4 linked regions of the Coturnix japonica genome follow. The protein of the gene in region 3 interacts with the protein of the main gene of each other region in a pairwise test. Links are inferred from orthologs where the notes say so. Each region holds a gene or a part of one and is shown on either strand. Other genes may lie near its edges.

Region 1 (3,500 bases), on a different chromosome or scaffold from region 3:
TTCCTATAGGAAGCTGAGTACACTGAGTTACAAATTCAATTTTGGCTGTAGAGAAAAACACTACAAGGAAACTACGTGTTGAAAACAACAGTTTTTCACAGAAATCTCAGGAACAAGAAGGAACACATCCCCCAAAATGGGACTGGTCTAGACAAATCACTCTGGAAGCAGGACAAGTGGACAGGGAGCTTATTATCCCCTCTAATACTAGTGCAACTTTATTTTTATTGAGTCAGCACAAACGAGAGATCTGAATGTAATACAAAGTTCTCTTTTTCAGTAGATTCAGCTAGCATTCTGCAAGAGTATCCTTACACACAGCAAGACTGCAGTTTATACACACAAGTGAATTTTACAAAGAAAGTTAAATTCTGCAACTGCTCACACCCACACATGCTTTTGGCTACCTTGAGCAGGGCCAGCTCAGAAAACCCAAGTCAGGCACAACTAGCCTCAGGTTTTGGACAATGGACAACAAAAACAGAAGAACAGGGTGCCTAAAAAAGCTCACTAAAGCTCACCACCAGCAACAGGGTGCAGAAAATCAGATGTTTGTTTTCGATTAAACACCTCACAGAAGACAATGAGGTTCCACAACTGCATAATTTTCATGCATTCACATATTAACAGGCAGGGTCTGCAAATGCCCTGCCCATAGAACCACTCCGCAGGCTCCTAAGTTGGATCACTACCTCAGACAATAGCAGTACAGTAATGGTGGAGTAGAGACAGTTGCTAATGAAAACAGCAGAAGACATCAGAGAAGCCAGCAAAAATACATATACAAGGGCTGTTCTGAAAGTAATGCTTCCTATTTTATTATGCTGGCCCATGATATCAGAGGCAGCTGATATCATAGCTGTTGGTAATAAAGCAGTAGAGCTTGAACCTTCCCACCAGTATTACACTACATTTTGTAGCCATGAAACAGATGGCAGTAGAGGAGCAGTCTGACAAAACATTGTCTGACATGGAAGTGTGTATGAAGCAAAGATGTGCCTCTGAATTCATCCAGGTGGAAAAAATTTCACCCAAGGACATTCATCAACACCTGCTGAACATTTATAGAGACCAAACAATGAATACTGGCACAGTGAGGCTGTGGGTGGTGCTTTTCATCAGTGGCGACAGTAATGTGAAAGACAAGCTGCATTCTGGACAGCCATGCAGATTTTTATGAGCACAGCATGCAAGTTCTTGTTCACCACTGCTGAAAATGCATAGCTAACAGTGGTGAATATATCATGAAAGTGTTTTCCAGCTGATTTTTTTTCTACCTGATAGTATTATTGTGTTCTTTTTATCTGTTGCAGTTTCCGTGAAGAAAATAGGAGGCGTTACTTTTGGAGCAGATCATGTACATCTATATGCTTGCATTCTAAAACATTTCTTCTCTGACTATTGAGAAGATTCACACATTCACCAAAATTTCACACACTGTGACACAATTGATTCTTAATAAAAGGCTGATAACTTCAAGATTATTTTAGTAGCTCCAGAGCTGAACATGCACAACACTAGCATAAAACAGCACAGAAATGTTAAGTTGAATGAATGATCATCACTAAAATCATTAGTGAAGATTAAAGGCAAGATATATTTTCATATCTAAAGCTAATAAATATCACTTTAAAATAACTGCTTATGAGGCATACGTTGCTCCTCCCTCACACCTAAGAATAACCATAAGTTTAATAAAAATAAAAAAAATCAGTTTACTAATGATCTGGATCAAGAGCAACATGAACAACTTCAACACAAAAATAGTGGTGCACTGGAGAGATGACCACCTGCCAATTTAAACAGAAGCTCCTGAAAGTAGTAGCAAACAAACAGGAACAATGTGTTGTTTTTTCCCCCTGATTTTTTACACTACATGAAAGAATATTCAGGTTAACATTTTATTTTTAAAAAAATAAAATAAGAAGCACATTTGATTTCTCCTACCTGTGAGAGGTTCTGCAGAGAGCTTCTGATGTCATGCAGGACTCTGCGAAGCTGCATTTCTACAGTGGAAGGTGGGTTGATGGCATGAGGTCGATGAGGATATCCAGAGTGCCTTGGAGAAAAGGGACAGCTGAAGGGCGAGAGCAAAGCGCTGAGGGAAGAACCAGAGATGCTTGGGACACTGTGGGTGCTGAGCGTCCTCATGTGCTCACAGAGTGGCCTGTCCAACCACTCATTTGGGAGGGAGTGCAGGGAGCATGTTGACTGGGACATATGTGCTGGGGTGTGTAGTGGGCAGCTCTGTCCCCTGGTGGGACTAGGCACCTCGGACAGTCTCCTGAGCCCAGTCTGGGGCACTTCTCTTTTAGAGGATGAAGTTGCAATGAATAGTGTTGATTTGCATACAGGCTGACTGGTAGCTGCCTTATCTTCCTGTTTGTCATCCTCAGAAGTCAGTTTTTCATCTTCCTCCACGTGTGTGTACTTGTAGGTGAAAGAAGGAGGACCACACAGAGTCTCCTTCCCTGGATTTAACTGGACATTCACAGAGGACACCACTTTCACTGGATTTAGTAATGCAGTTGGGAGCGACTGAGATCGCCTTAGAGGATAACCTGATTCAGCCAACCACTGTCTTTGTTTCCTCAGGAGATCTTTTGACTTAAAGAAAGAGCGCCCAGCCCTTGAGTCAGATGTGCTGATGACCCTCATCTGGGCTCTCTGCAAAGCAACATGAACCCTGTCTAAGGACGATGGGGTAGAGCCGTCACCTTCCAGAGACTCCAGAGACTTAAGGATATGGTGTGTTTGGTACTGAGGAAACTCAAATGCAGTGTCGTTGTCAAGATCGCTTTCATCAACGCCTTCCTCCAGAAGCCCCAGTTCTTTCTGCTCACTGGAAATGCCTTCATCTTTAGAGCTGCCTTCTCCTCCAGCTATCTTAGGTACGTGAGATGACTTACTTTCTCCTCCATTATTTTGTTCAGCTTCATAGTCACAATTTCTTTTATCATCTATCCTTAGGTTTTCAGAATACACCTCCACCTTTCCTTTCTCCACTTGAGAGATATCATCCTCTTCATCATCCTCTTCCTCACCCTCCTCCTCTTCTTCCTCCTCTTCTTCCTCCTCAAACTTATTGAAACACGGCCGTTCCTTAGCTATTGGTGTCTTCTGTTCTTCACTATGTGATGTCACAGTTGTCTCACTGTCACAGCTGTCAGCACTGCTTCCCATGCCTTGCAAAGACTCCTGAACCTAGGGAAGATTCAAGACAGCAAATGAGTGAACATACTGGAGACTCAGCTACCACTTTCTCAGGACTCAGGTTAACAGCCTAAGCTCATATTCATTTGGCATTATGATTATTTGGTGAAATAATCCAAAATGTAATTAGTATGCAGGCAAAAATGAAAGAGAATAAAGAAACCATAGTTTCAGAGAAGCATTCTGAAGTACAGCACCCAAAAGGAGATGGTTTGCAGGGAAAAGAAAAAGTAGCCAAACCATTCACACTCTTTTTTTTTATTTGATAATAAATATTACTGCCAAAA
Region 2 (3,500 bases), on a different chromosome or scaffold from region 3:
AGTTTATCACGAAGTACTGTGTCTAGAGTATGAAAGGTTTGTTTTTAGCATGGGCTGGTGAAGAAGGAGATCTGACACTCTAGTTTCAACTACTGAGCACAGGTCTTCAGACAAATTTAGAATTTAGGGGATTTTCTTTTTATTTCTGAAAGGTTATCCGATTATTCCTCCCGCAAACAGCTTTCAGAGACAGAAAAACCTCACCTTGAAAATCCTTTCAAGAATACTTCCGTTTAGTACCGTGCGAGTCCATTTCTTTAGATGTGAAAGTCTCTATTTGACATCACTGAACACCTGCTTCTAAAATTATTTCCATTTACAGCAACAGTTTAACATCCTAGATCTTCTAGCTGAGTAATATGGATGTGTATTAAATGTACATTTCCTCCCCATGTGGCTTATATTTGCCTCCTCCCCTTCCATCTGCCCTTTTCAACCATATATATATATTGTGTGTGTGTATGTATGTATATATGTGTGTGTATATATGTGTGTGTGTATGTATATATATATTATTATTATATATTATATATATTATATATACATGTATATTATTTTTTTAATGTCTGTTAGGTTGGATGAAGGCAATCTGCCCAAAGAAATAAATCTTGTGGAAGATTACTTTCAACTGGTGCAGCACGAGTACAAGAAATGGCAGGAGCACGCTGAACCTGCCAGAAAAGAGGCCTGCTCCAGGAACAGACAGGAACTGTCTTTTTCCCAGCTCTCCCTCTTACAGGTGAAATGTGAAACTCCAAACTGCCCTTTCTATATGTCTGTGAACACCCAGCCCTACTGCCATGAGTGCTTTGAGCGGAGGTCGCAGGGAATCAAAGGAAGAAAGCAGGTCTCCGAAGCAGCACCTGAGAAACTGAAGGCAGCTGGGTCCAGTGGTAAAGCTTGTGAACCTGGGGGATGGATGTCTGAGGAGGCTGTAACAGGGCCTCACTCTGCACCCCCAACTGCTCCCAGCCTTTTCCTCTATAGTGAAACCACTGCCATGAAATGCCGGACTCCAGACTGCCCCTTCACCTTAAATGTGCAACACAACGGACTTTGTGAACGCTGCTACAATGCCAGACAGCTTGCTGCTAGTAACAATTTGGACAACCAGAGGCGTTTGGACTATGCCACGTGTAAGGTGTGCCACCAGAAGGCCAACAGGACATTTAATGGCATATGCAGCACTTGTTTCAAAAGGACTACAGAGCGCTCTTCAAATGGCAGCCCTGGTTTTGTACCCGCGTGCCATCAGAGATCTACATCTGACCCATCCCAGATCCCACAGAGCCTCCTTCAGCATTCCTGCCAGCAAACTCCCAACAGCAACTGCAACGAGCCACTCTTGGCCGCGCTGCCTCATGCCCCACGTGCTTTGGAGGAGAAGGGAAGTAAGCTCTGCAGGAAACCTGGCTGCAAGTTTTTTGGAACAGCACAGAATGAGGGCTTTTGCACGCTGTGCTTCTTTGAATACAGGGAAAACCACGGTAAGTGAAGATGTGAGCTTTGTTAGATGTGCAGATGGTGAAACTGAAGTTTTGCGTGTGCTGTGCTCTGAAAGATCAAGAGGTGACAAACACTGTGTAGCAGAAGCAGCAGTATGAGGAAAATGTGCTTTATTGGCTGTTGCTATCCCAAATGAGAGGCATGCAATAACAGTGTGGGATATATGAAATCTTGTAAAACTTCCCATTGCCTTCCATGAAAGAAAAACTTCAATCAAGCATCATTTTTGATGCCTTCCAACCCTACACTGTAGTAATGTTTTGGTATAAATCTTCTCAGGTTAAACTTCATCATAGCTAGACCAGTTCTAGGAACTGGTGAGGGAAGTGATGTTGTATTGATGTTAGTGAAAACCAGTTGTGTTTGGAAGGCTTTCTAAAAACTTGGCATGAATTTGAAGATCTGTATCCGTTCTGGGTTTAACAGATATAACACTGGAGTAATGACTGAAATCTCAATAAACAGAGCAAGGAGAATTTGTCTGTGGTTAATATGCAAATATAATGTGTAGACAATACAAAATAAGTATTTGATAGTAACATAGGAATATATGGTTATAATGTACCTTGAAATGTTTCTTGATACTCTATGCATAAGCTTAAAATTAAGTCCTAAAATAGTCTGTAAATTAATCATGTTGGGAAATCATCAGCTTCCATGCTGCTGCTGTTTCACAGGCAACTGCCTTTGGATACAGAGGGTGGGATGCACATGTGAGAGGAAAATAATACTTATCTCAAGACAGTTCCGTTGCTGACAAGCAGATCAGTGCTACATTTTCCATGTACTTTTACATCAAGGGCCTATTATGCTAGCTTACAAAAGCTTATTTTTGAGTGTTGTTCACATAGAAAACTGTTATGATTGTGGAATATATGATTGCCTCATTAAATTAAGAGGTTTAGGGTGCATTAACCTATTAAGCTCTGTACTACTATATTTCCACTACCCCATGTGATTGAAATGAAGGAGGACAGAAGGGAAGAGTTGGGATGTATTGCAGGTGCCATTCTAAAACCGATGGTGATTTTCCTCGTCTTTATTGAGATCCAGTTTCCATGCTGTGAGCAGGTTCTTCTCGAATCAGCTGTTTGATGTAAAGCTTAGTCTCTATTAGCCCTTTGTTTATGTAAGCTGAAGGAATGTGCTCTGACTGAGTGGTATCGGAGTTGTCAAAATGCAGTGTTTGAGACTAGCAGATTTTTGGTTTTTTTTTTTTCTTTGCCAATTGAGGAACTTTTGTAATCACTTTGGGCCATAACATCTTTTGGGCTCATTCACACATTTCCTCATCCTTTCTTTGCATTACAGACAGTGCTTCACTACGCCACCAGAGGAGATCTCAGAGGAATTCCTCAGCAGCTGGTCAACAGGGGAGCTCAGCTGCTGCATTCCACAATACCATGTCTTGCCAGCAGCAGAACTGTGGCACCCTGGGTAGTACCATGCTGGAAGGCTACTGCCAGAACTGTTTCATTAAAGCCCAGAGCCAGCGATTTCAGGAAGCCAGGAGGACTGAAGAACAGCTAGTGAGACAGCCTGAAGTAAGTATGAACTCTGAAAACCTTCCTCTTGTTTAGCATGTTTTTCCCTTGTGAGAGTGACTCAGAGAGTGTAATAGGATGCAGCAACATGAGAATTTCTAAGTGTCATGGGAAGACTAGTGTAAGGTATCTCATGATTTCCACTTGCTACAACTGAGCAGTACTTCTAATGCACATCCTCAATTTAGTATTTTCGTGGCTGTTGGTTCTATTTTACCTACCTAGAATTTGCCCTGCAGTTTCAGTGAACCCATGGCTGACTTTGTTTGCTGGCTGTACAGGGGTTTTCATTCATCCCTTTAGAGCTATGTAACTTCATCAAGAGATTTACTCTGCTTTGTCTTGCTTTTTTCGTTGAGCACATCACAGATTTTCTGTTCCAGGCTATTTCACTTGGTCTGTTTTGGTTTTAGAATTGAGAATTACCAAAGATACAAAACCTATTTTTCT
Region 3 (3,500 bases):
CTTCCTTCATCCAGATAAGAATGGGCTGCATGTGCAGTCCAGGAGTTAAACTTGACATAGGTTATGCTGTGTGAATGAACAACTGTTCAATGGGTTTTTCCTAGCTCAGCAGTCTTCAATGTTGGCTTAGAACACTTTTTGCTAGGATTCTTATTCTCCAAGCAGCTATTGCCCTGCTAGCATCTATCTGATGATTAAGACTTAACTGATAGCTTTTTCTCCTCCATGTCTACTTGTATGGTTAACTCACTTGAGACTTAAGTGAAGTTCAGGTCTGGAAAGCTGGTTGCTGCAGTGGGACTGGGCAGAGCTGTTCTCTTCAGTCAGCTTCCTTTAGAAATGGAGAATTTGTTTCTTGATCAGTGCAAATACCTTGATCAGGCCAATTAATGGAGTGTACGGAAGGAGGGCAGCTCCCCACAGTGCTGGGAGGGTGGTGGGTGCAGTCTGCAACTGCCTTAATTGCAGTCCTACAGAGACAGCCTAATTATAAAAGACTTACTCTCAGTAGTAAAAAAACCCTTCAGTTGTCACTGAAGTCACCGTCTTGGCAAGGACGATAAGTATCATAGCTGTGAATGCTGGAGTTCCATAAGGGTAAGAGCAGAGCTGTAAGTAGTTACAGAGGGCCAATGTGTGCCTTGTGTACTTGGCAGCCCTCTGCTTGTGCCAGTAGTGCTGTGGCAGCAGTGGCACCAAGCCCTCCTGGTATAGCTTGTGCCTTCCAGAATGATGCCTCTGGCAGCTGGGCAGCCTGTTTGGCTGTGTGACTGTGCTGCTGCTGCCTTGATTGTGTTACGTTCCCTTTGCTACCAAAGGATCATCTCTGCTGTCACTCCAACAGGAAGCAAGAGCGTGGTATTTCTTGATGTATCCTTGCATTGTTATAAAGTGAGATTATAGGCCAGCCCTGGCCATGCAGGAAATAGCAATTAGTAAAGATGTCTCTTTCCCCCGTTATGTTGAAACAAATGAAGCCCACTTAGTATGGGTTATTTTAATCTAACTGGAGCGTAAGTGTGGCTGAACCTTGTCTAACTCCTGTTTCTGGCAGCCTAACTTCTTCATTACCCTGTCTGCTGACAGAGATCTACTACAATAGGTCACTTCACTTTGACAGTTTTCACAAGTTTGAGTCTACTAGACTAAATATTCATGATCTGTATAAATAAATTAGCAATATTTAAACTTGTTCACTCTTTTTCTTCCTGTCTCTGACTGAGTTTTCTGTAGCTTGATGTCAGCTGGCTTATTGGCCAAAGCCGTGCCACAGGTGCCATTGGGACACAGTGGTGCCGTATTCCTGTTGTGAATAGGAATACAGGAGACATGCAGTTAACACAGAGGTTGCTATCTGCAAGGAAGCACTGTAAGGTGGCCATAATTCTGTGGGCTTGACCTGCATTACATCACGCGTTTCTGTGGTGTCATTGGAAAGATGAGCTGAAAACAGCGAAACTGAAATGTCATTCATCTAATTGGAAGTGGGGGGTGAGGGGGAAGACATCCAAAAATTCTTAGAGAAAAATAAAACATTAAATTGTTACATAGCCTTAGCAAAGTTTATGTAACAGTTTCTAATTTCATTTTGAGTACTCAACAGCACTTCTGCACTTATTCTGGTTTTTAAATAACTGGCTTTTCTTTCAAAGTCTGACTTCAAGAACTCACTATCAAGAAGTTTGACAGGCTTGTGCCTTAATTTGACTAAATGTGTTGGAGCTAGTGATTTTTTTTTTTTTTTTTTCTTCTTTTCATCATAATAGAACTCCTGCTAAATTACATGACTGCTTCAGCTGGTAACTTGCATTGCTGATTTAATAAGCAGTTAGAACAATCTAGAAAAGAAAAATACCTGGTCTTAACTGGCAGCTCATATGGGGGGATTTGGTGGGGTGACTCCAGAGAGCTGCCGTTGCTTTGGAAGGGATGGGCAGCATGTAGTCACACAGCTGAGCAGCTGTTGATTCAACTGTCTAGAAAGGCAGGAATCCAGATTCACTGTGCAGTTTCTCTTTGGTGATCCAAATGTAGAGTTCCACTTAACACTAATTAAAAAAACCCACAACCTCATTAGCCTGGCCTAGTTCCCATTGCCTGTGTATGTAAGGTATTTGGGTCTCTGATTTGGCAGCTGATATTTTGAGTCCTTTTATCATCTGTGGATGCTGACTTCATTCCATTGTGTACGCTCTGCCCAGACTCTTTGGATGACATTATTTTTGTCAGGGCCTACACAAACCGTTCCTCTGGCCCTTCAGCATTCATCTGCTAAATGAACAGACTTCTTTCCTGTTCTCCCTATAGAGTCACAGCATGGATCGTTCCTTTTAGTACCCAGAATTATGATCCAGAACACATTTTTTCCTTAGCCGAATACGCTATGTAGGATGTGACAGCTTTACTTCTGCCTATTTTTGTCTTGACTTTGAAATAGATGGTAGCATAATCAAACTGTTGGTTCAAAAGCTATGAAAGTATGCATGTTCAAAACGCTGTTCTTTGCTTCTCTTTTAGTCTCTGTTGGAAAAGTTCTTGATCCCTAATGCTTCGCAAGCAGAAAGCAAAGTTTTCTATTTGAAAATGAAAGGTGATTATTACCGTTACTTGGCTGAGGTTGCTGCTGGAGATGACAAGAAAGGTATGTCAATTGTCGCTAAATCTTTGGTCAGTTTAGTGGACAGCAACGCTACAGTAACTTTTGGAATACTTCTTTTTCAGATTCTGCAGTCACAGAATCTTGAAATCAGATCCAGTGTATGCATACAAGAATGTGCCTTATCGCTGACATACCAGTTAATGCTTTTTTTCCTGGCTCTCTGAGTACTGTTTTTACCTCTTCGTAGGGAGTCACTGTAGCTTTCTGAAGTGCTTTAGTGCTAGTTCTCCTGCGTTTCTGCAGCACATAAGAACGTCTGTATAAGTTTAGTGAGCAGGGAGACTAGAATACACCTGGGGAAGGAAAGGATTAATGAAACAGATGTTCAGTAATTTTTTTCCATAACCACGGTAGTTTGATTTCTAAATGGTTTTTATTTCCTAAATTTCTCATGTAGCTTGTCCTCATAGCAGGTAAGTTGCCTTTACTCGTGTTTGGTAAGTAAAGTTAAAATAATGTACTTAACTGCAGCCATTAAGCCACCTAGTGTATTGAAGAGGCACCTAAATAACACCTTGTCTTTGTGCAGTCATCTTCAGTTCAGGAGAATCTATTACATTTAGATAGCACTGTTCACAGCAAACTCCAAGCTGTTTCCTGGAGCCAGTCTCCACAGTCTGCTGGATAGTAATGAAGACGAGTAAGATAAGACTTAATAAACAGTGTTTGATTTGACTTCTAGTGTTTGCTGCATGCAAGCTGACCTAGTCTTGGTGACTGCAGAACCACATGTGTAATAAATAAATGTGTTACTGTGTACCATAGCAGATGTATTTTTGTTCAGTAATCTCTCATTTACAAACTAGAAGGTACACTCTCATAAGGATAGTTACTGACTGTA
Region 4 (3,500 bases), on a different chromosome or scaffold from region 3:
GTTGAAGCTTGGCTGTTAGTAGACAGAAGAGGAGGGAGGTAATGGTGTAGTTCTACAGCTGCTTCCGCTTGTGACCGTTTTGACTGGTGGGGCTGTTTGCATCCTTTCAGCTATTACAGCAAAATATTTTCAGATGTATGCCTAAGTATAACAAGTAGCAGCTCCTTCCAGCTTCTGGAAATAATTATTCCAGTCAGGATAATGATTTTCACTGTTGTATATAAACGTTTCTTATTGTTCTACTTTCAAAGAAATAGTTTATGTGACTTATAAGAAAGTCAACTGTAAACTGGATCCCCCCAGCTGATTGTAGGTCATCTGATTGGCCTGTTCTTCCCAGTCCCATCCCAAATTTCCATTGCAGCTCCCTTGGTCTTGTCTGCTCCACTGGTAGTAAGATGGCAGCGAGAAAACTAATATACGTAAGGCCCTGTGCCATCTTGCTAACTGTTCTGTCAGCAAGATCATTCTGAACAGGATTTGTTTACAGAATGGCTTCTGTACAGGATTTGATTTATATCAGGGCCCTCTTGCCATGACATGTACGACTGAACTGGTAGTAATGCAACAGCGGGAAGCAACTGAAGAATTGCTAAAAGAGTTCCAACTGTAGCTCCTATTTATAACAGCACTGACCTAAAAATGCACTTTGGTGGCTGATTAAACAAGGGGACATTAGTAGTTAGAATGCTCCTAATCCTTACTGAAGTGTGAAATGTACACCATTATTAGCTCTGTAATGGTTAAGGACTGTGATATGCTTCGAATGGTTTTTAGCTGTGGGTGGGTGTGAAAAGTTTAAAACAGTGTGGAACATCGATAGGCTGTTTCTTAAAGCTGCTTAGGTATGTTCTTACTGAGTTAAATTGAACCTCAGTGCTGTGGTTTTCATTGGGAAAGGTCAGTGTAAAATGAAAAACTGGTGTCTCACACAGACTTCAGCTTTTAATTAGAACGGAGCATTTCTTGTGACAGCCACGTTATCAAAACCCCTGCACTGGGGTGTGCAACTATTTTAGTTTCTCCGATGCTCTACCCTCATTTTTGTTGCATTTTTTCTGTTACAGTGGAACATATCACTCCAGAGATGAAAGCACAGATAGCGGACTTAGCATGAGCAGTTACAGTGTACCCAGAACCCCCGATGACTTCCTGAACAGTGTTGATGAGATGGATACAGGTTTGTTCTCCTTAATACACCCTTTTCAGTCGTGCTGGTATCAAATGCTCAGCCCCTTTGCAGTGAAAACAAGTGATTCTGAAAAGCTCCAATGTTTTTTGGGGGGGGGGGGGGGGTTATGTTTGTACTACCTCCTTCTATTTCTATTGCAGAACTATTATAGTTAAATTTGTGAAAAACATCCTTGTAATAAATTCTACTGGAAGGCTCATAAAGGGAATAATTCCTGCAGCTATATGGAATTTGAATACCCATTTGCTTTCTTAAGAAAGCAAAAGTTCTAAGCTAAGAACTTACTCAGTATTACTATACTATTATTATATAAGTATGCTTAATCAGTATTGCTAATGTTGCTCCCAAATTATATTTGACTTGTTATTGTCTTTTATGCATAAAAACTAAAACATGCTAAAAGATCAAAGATCTGTAAAGATTCAGGTTAAGACATGAAAAGTTTGAAACAAAGGCAAGTTCTTCGTACATCTGCATGTAGCCAAGTCATCTTTAGTTTTTGTGATGAATTTCTATGAATCACAGTTTTTGAGTGATGCAAAGGATCCAGGATTAACCTTTAACCAGTTGTGATTAATTGTGGGTTTGGTACTTCCAGTAAATTGAACATCCATCTTGCTTTTTGTTATAACTAGGTGACAGTATCAGCCAAAGTAACATACCGTCCCATCAGAACCGATTCCCAGACTACCTTGAAGCCATTCCAGGGACAAATGTGGACCTTGGGACACTGGAAGGAGATGGGATGAATATAGAAGGAGAAGAACTGATGCCAAGTCTGCAAGAGGCTTTGAGCTCTGACATCTTAAATGACATGGAATCTGTCTTGGCAGCCACCAAGCTAGATAAAGAGAGTTTTCTTACTTGGTTATAGGGGCCTCAGGGAGACTGAATTCTAAATCTGTGAAGGATCTAAGGAGAATAGGACATCTGTATCTGAAGTTCAGAGCAAGCCAGTGTGGCACACTTTGGCTTGTGTTCAGAAAAAGTAAATGAACAAATATTCAGCAAGATTCTTTCGTTTTGCTCTTCCTTGTCCATCGCTGCTGTTATATATTGCTGACTTTTTTCCACAGTTGACTCTGAAGAACAGACATCTTCTTGACCTTTTTCTATTGCTGTTGCAACTACTGTTGGGGGGTGGGGGAGGGAACGATGAGCCTATTTGAATGACGAATGCCATTCCTTTTGTCCTAGTGTGCGCTTGCATATCATTTTTATCTAAGTACTCAGATTTGAGAGTAAATTTCTGCATGTCACTGCTTGTAGTTTGCTCAGCTAGTTGTCTCCTGCTGCCTGTGGAAAGTGGTAAAACGTGACATACTGGAGTGACAAGCCGAAAATGATGTATCTGGTCAAATGAAGTCAATACTGATTTGGAGATACGACCTAAAGGAGGGCTGAAAACTGGCATTAGGTGTTTCCACTAGTAGCTCCTTCATTAGCCATGAAGTGCTCTTGTTCATATTTTATGTTATAGTAAATCATGAGTCCTTTTACATAGAAACATATATGAACTTTGATTGTTGCCACTTATTCTAGCCTAACTCTTGTTTGTCAAAAATAGTTTGATTATTTTTGTTAGTTGATTTAACTGTAGCTATAGGATGGGAAGTAATTCTAGGTGTTCTTTTTTTAAATAGTGAAATCTAAGGGTTTTTTTTTTTTTCTGATTTCACATAGTCTTATTTAAATCTGAATTGTCTGCTTTTTTTTTTATACCTAAACCATGCCTATTGTAGCGCAATAAGCTAGTGAGTACATAAAACAGTATGTTTTGCCCGTAACTTTTCTATTTTTTTTAAAGGCTAGCTTTGAATGTAATCCTTAGGATCCATGACCAGTGGCTTATTTTTCATGTTTCTTTGCAAGATATTGAATTAGAAGCTAAGTGCGCTATTTACGATTTTAAAACGCATTTTGAAGTAGCAGAAACAATTTTACAGTGACCGAGATGCGTCCAAGCTCACCTCTGGTTTTCAGTTTTGTATCTGAATGAGTTTAGATTCTTTAAGGGGAAAAAACCTTCTGAAGATTTTCTCCTGAGTTAGTGTGGGAAAATGGTCTGAACTATGAACATCACTGTAAGCTGCAATGAAAAGGCTAGAAGACCAAAAAAAATAACACAAGAATCCTCAGTAAAAACTCCGAAGTGTAATAGTTGTCAAATTCCGTTTGGTGAAAAATAAGCCCTGGGCACGACGTAGAAGTCTGTAAAGATACGTGTTAGATGGTGACGTGAGCAAGTAATGAAGTGTATATTAGCAGTAGAGCTTAGCATTGGGTAGAGGTGAATATGAGTTACCTT

The links.
Region 1: the proteins of YWHAZ (region 3) and ITPRID2 interact in a two-hybrid assay, tested with the Homo sapiens proteins (2 studies listed by BioGRID and IntAct). The link is inferred for Coturnix japonica from reciprocal best matches to the Homo sapiens genes YWHAZ and ITPRID2.
Region 2: the proteins of YWHAZ (region 3) and TNFAIP3 interact in a two-hybrid assay, tested with the Homo sapiens proteins (4 studies listed by BioGRID and IntAct). The link is inferred for Coturnix japonica from reciprocal best matches to the Homo sapiens genes YWHAZ and TNFAIP3.
Region 4: the proteins of YWHAZ (region 3) and YAP1 interact in binary tests that used the Homo sapiens proteins (3 or more experiments, as listed by UniProt). The link is inferred for Coturnix japonica from reciprocal best matches to the Homo sapiens genes YWHAZ and YAP1.

Annotation. Positions count from the first base shown.
Region 1 is NC_029522.1:12,466,704-12,470,203, forward strand, and holds part of ITPRID2 (protein ITPRID2), read right to left. Parts: intron 3,275-3,500; exon of another isoform or gene 3,205-3,274; coding exon 1,948-3,204; intron 1-1,947.
Region 2 is NC_029518.1:49,364,165-49,367,664, reverse strand, and holds part of TNFAIP3 (tumor necrosis factor alpha-induced protein 3), read left to right. Parts: intron 1-573; coding exon 574-1,487; intron 1,488-2,817; coding exon 2,818-3,050; intron 3,051-3,500. UniProt on the Homo sapiens protein: Ubiquitin-editing enzyme that contains both ubiquitin ligase and deubiquitinase activities.
Region 3 is NC_029517.1:116,478,782-116,482,281, reverse strand, and holds part of YWHAZ (14-3-3 protein zeta/delta), read left to right. Parts: intron 1-2,517; coding exon 2,518-2,641; intron 2,642-3,500.
Region 4 is NC_029516.1:163,400,871-163,404,370, reverse strand, and holds part of YAP1 (transcriptional coactivator YAP1), read left to right. Parts: intron 1-1,067; coding exon 1,068-1,180; intron 1,181-1,827; coding exon 1,828-2,066; 3' UTR 2,067-3,500. UniProt on the Homo sapiens protein: Transcriptional regulator with dual roles as a coactivator and corepressor. Critical downstream regulatory target in the Hippo signaling pathway, crucial for organ size control and tumor suppression by restricting proliferation and promoting apoptosis.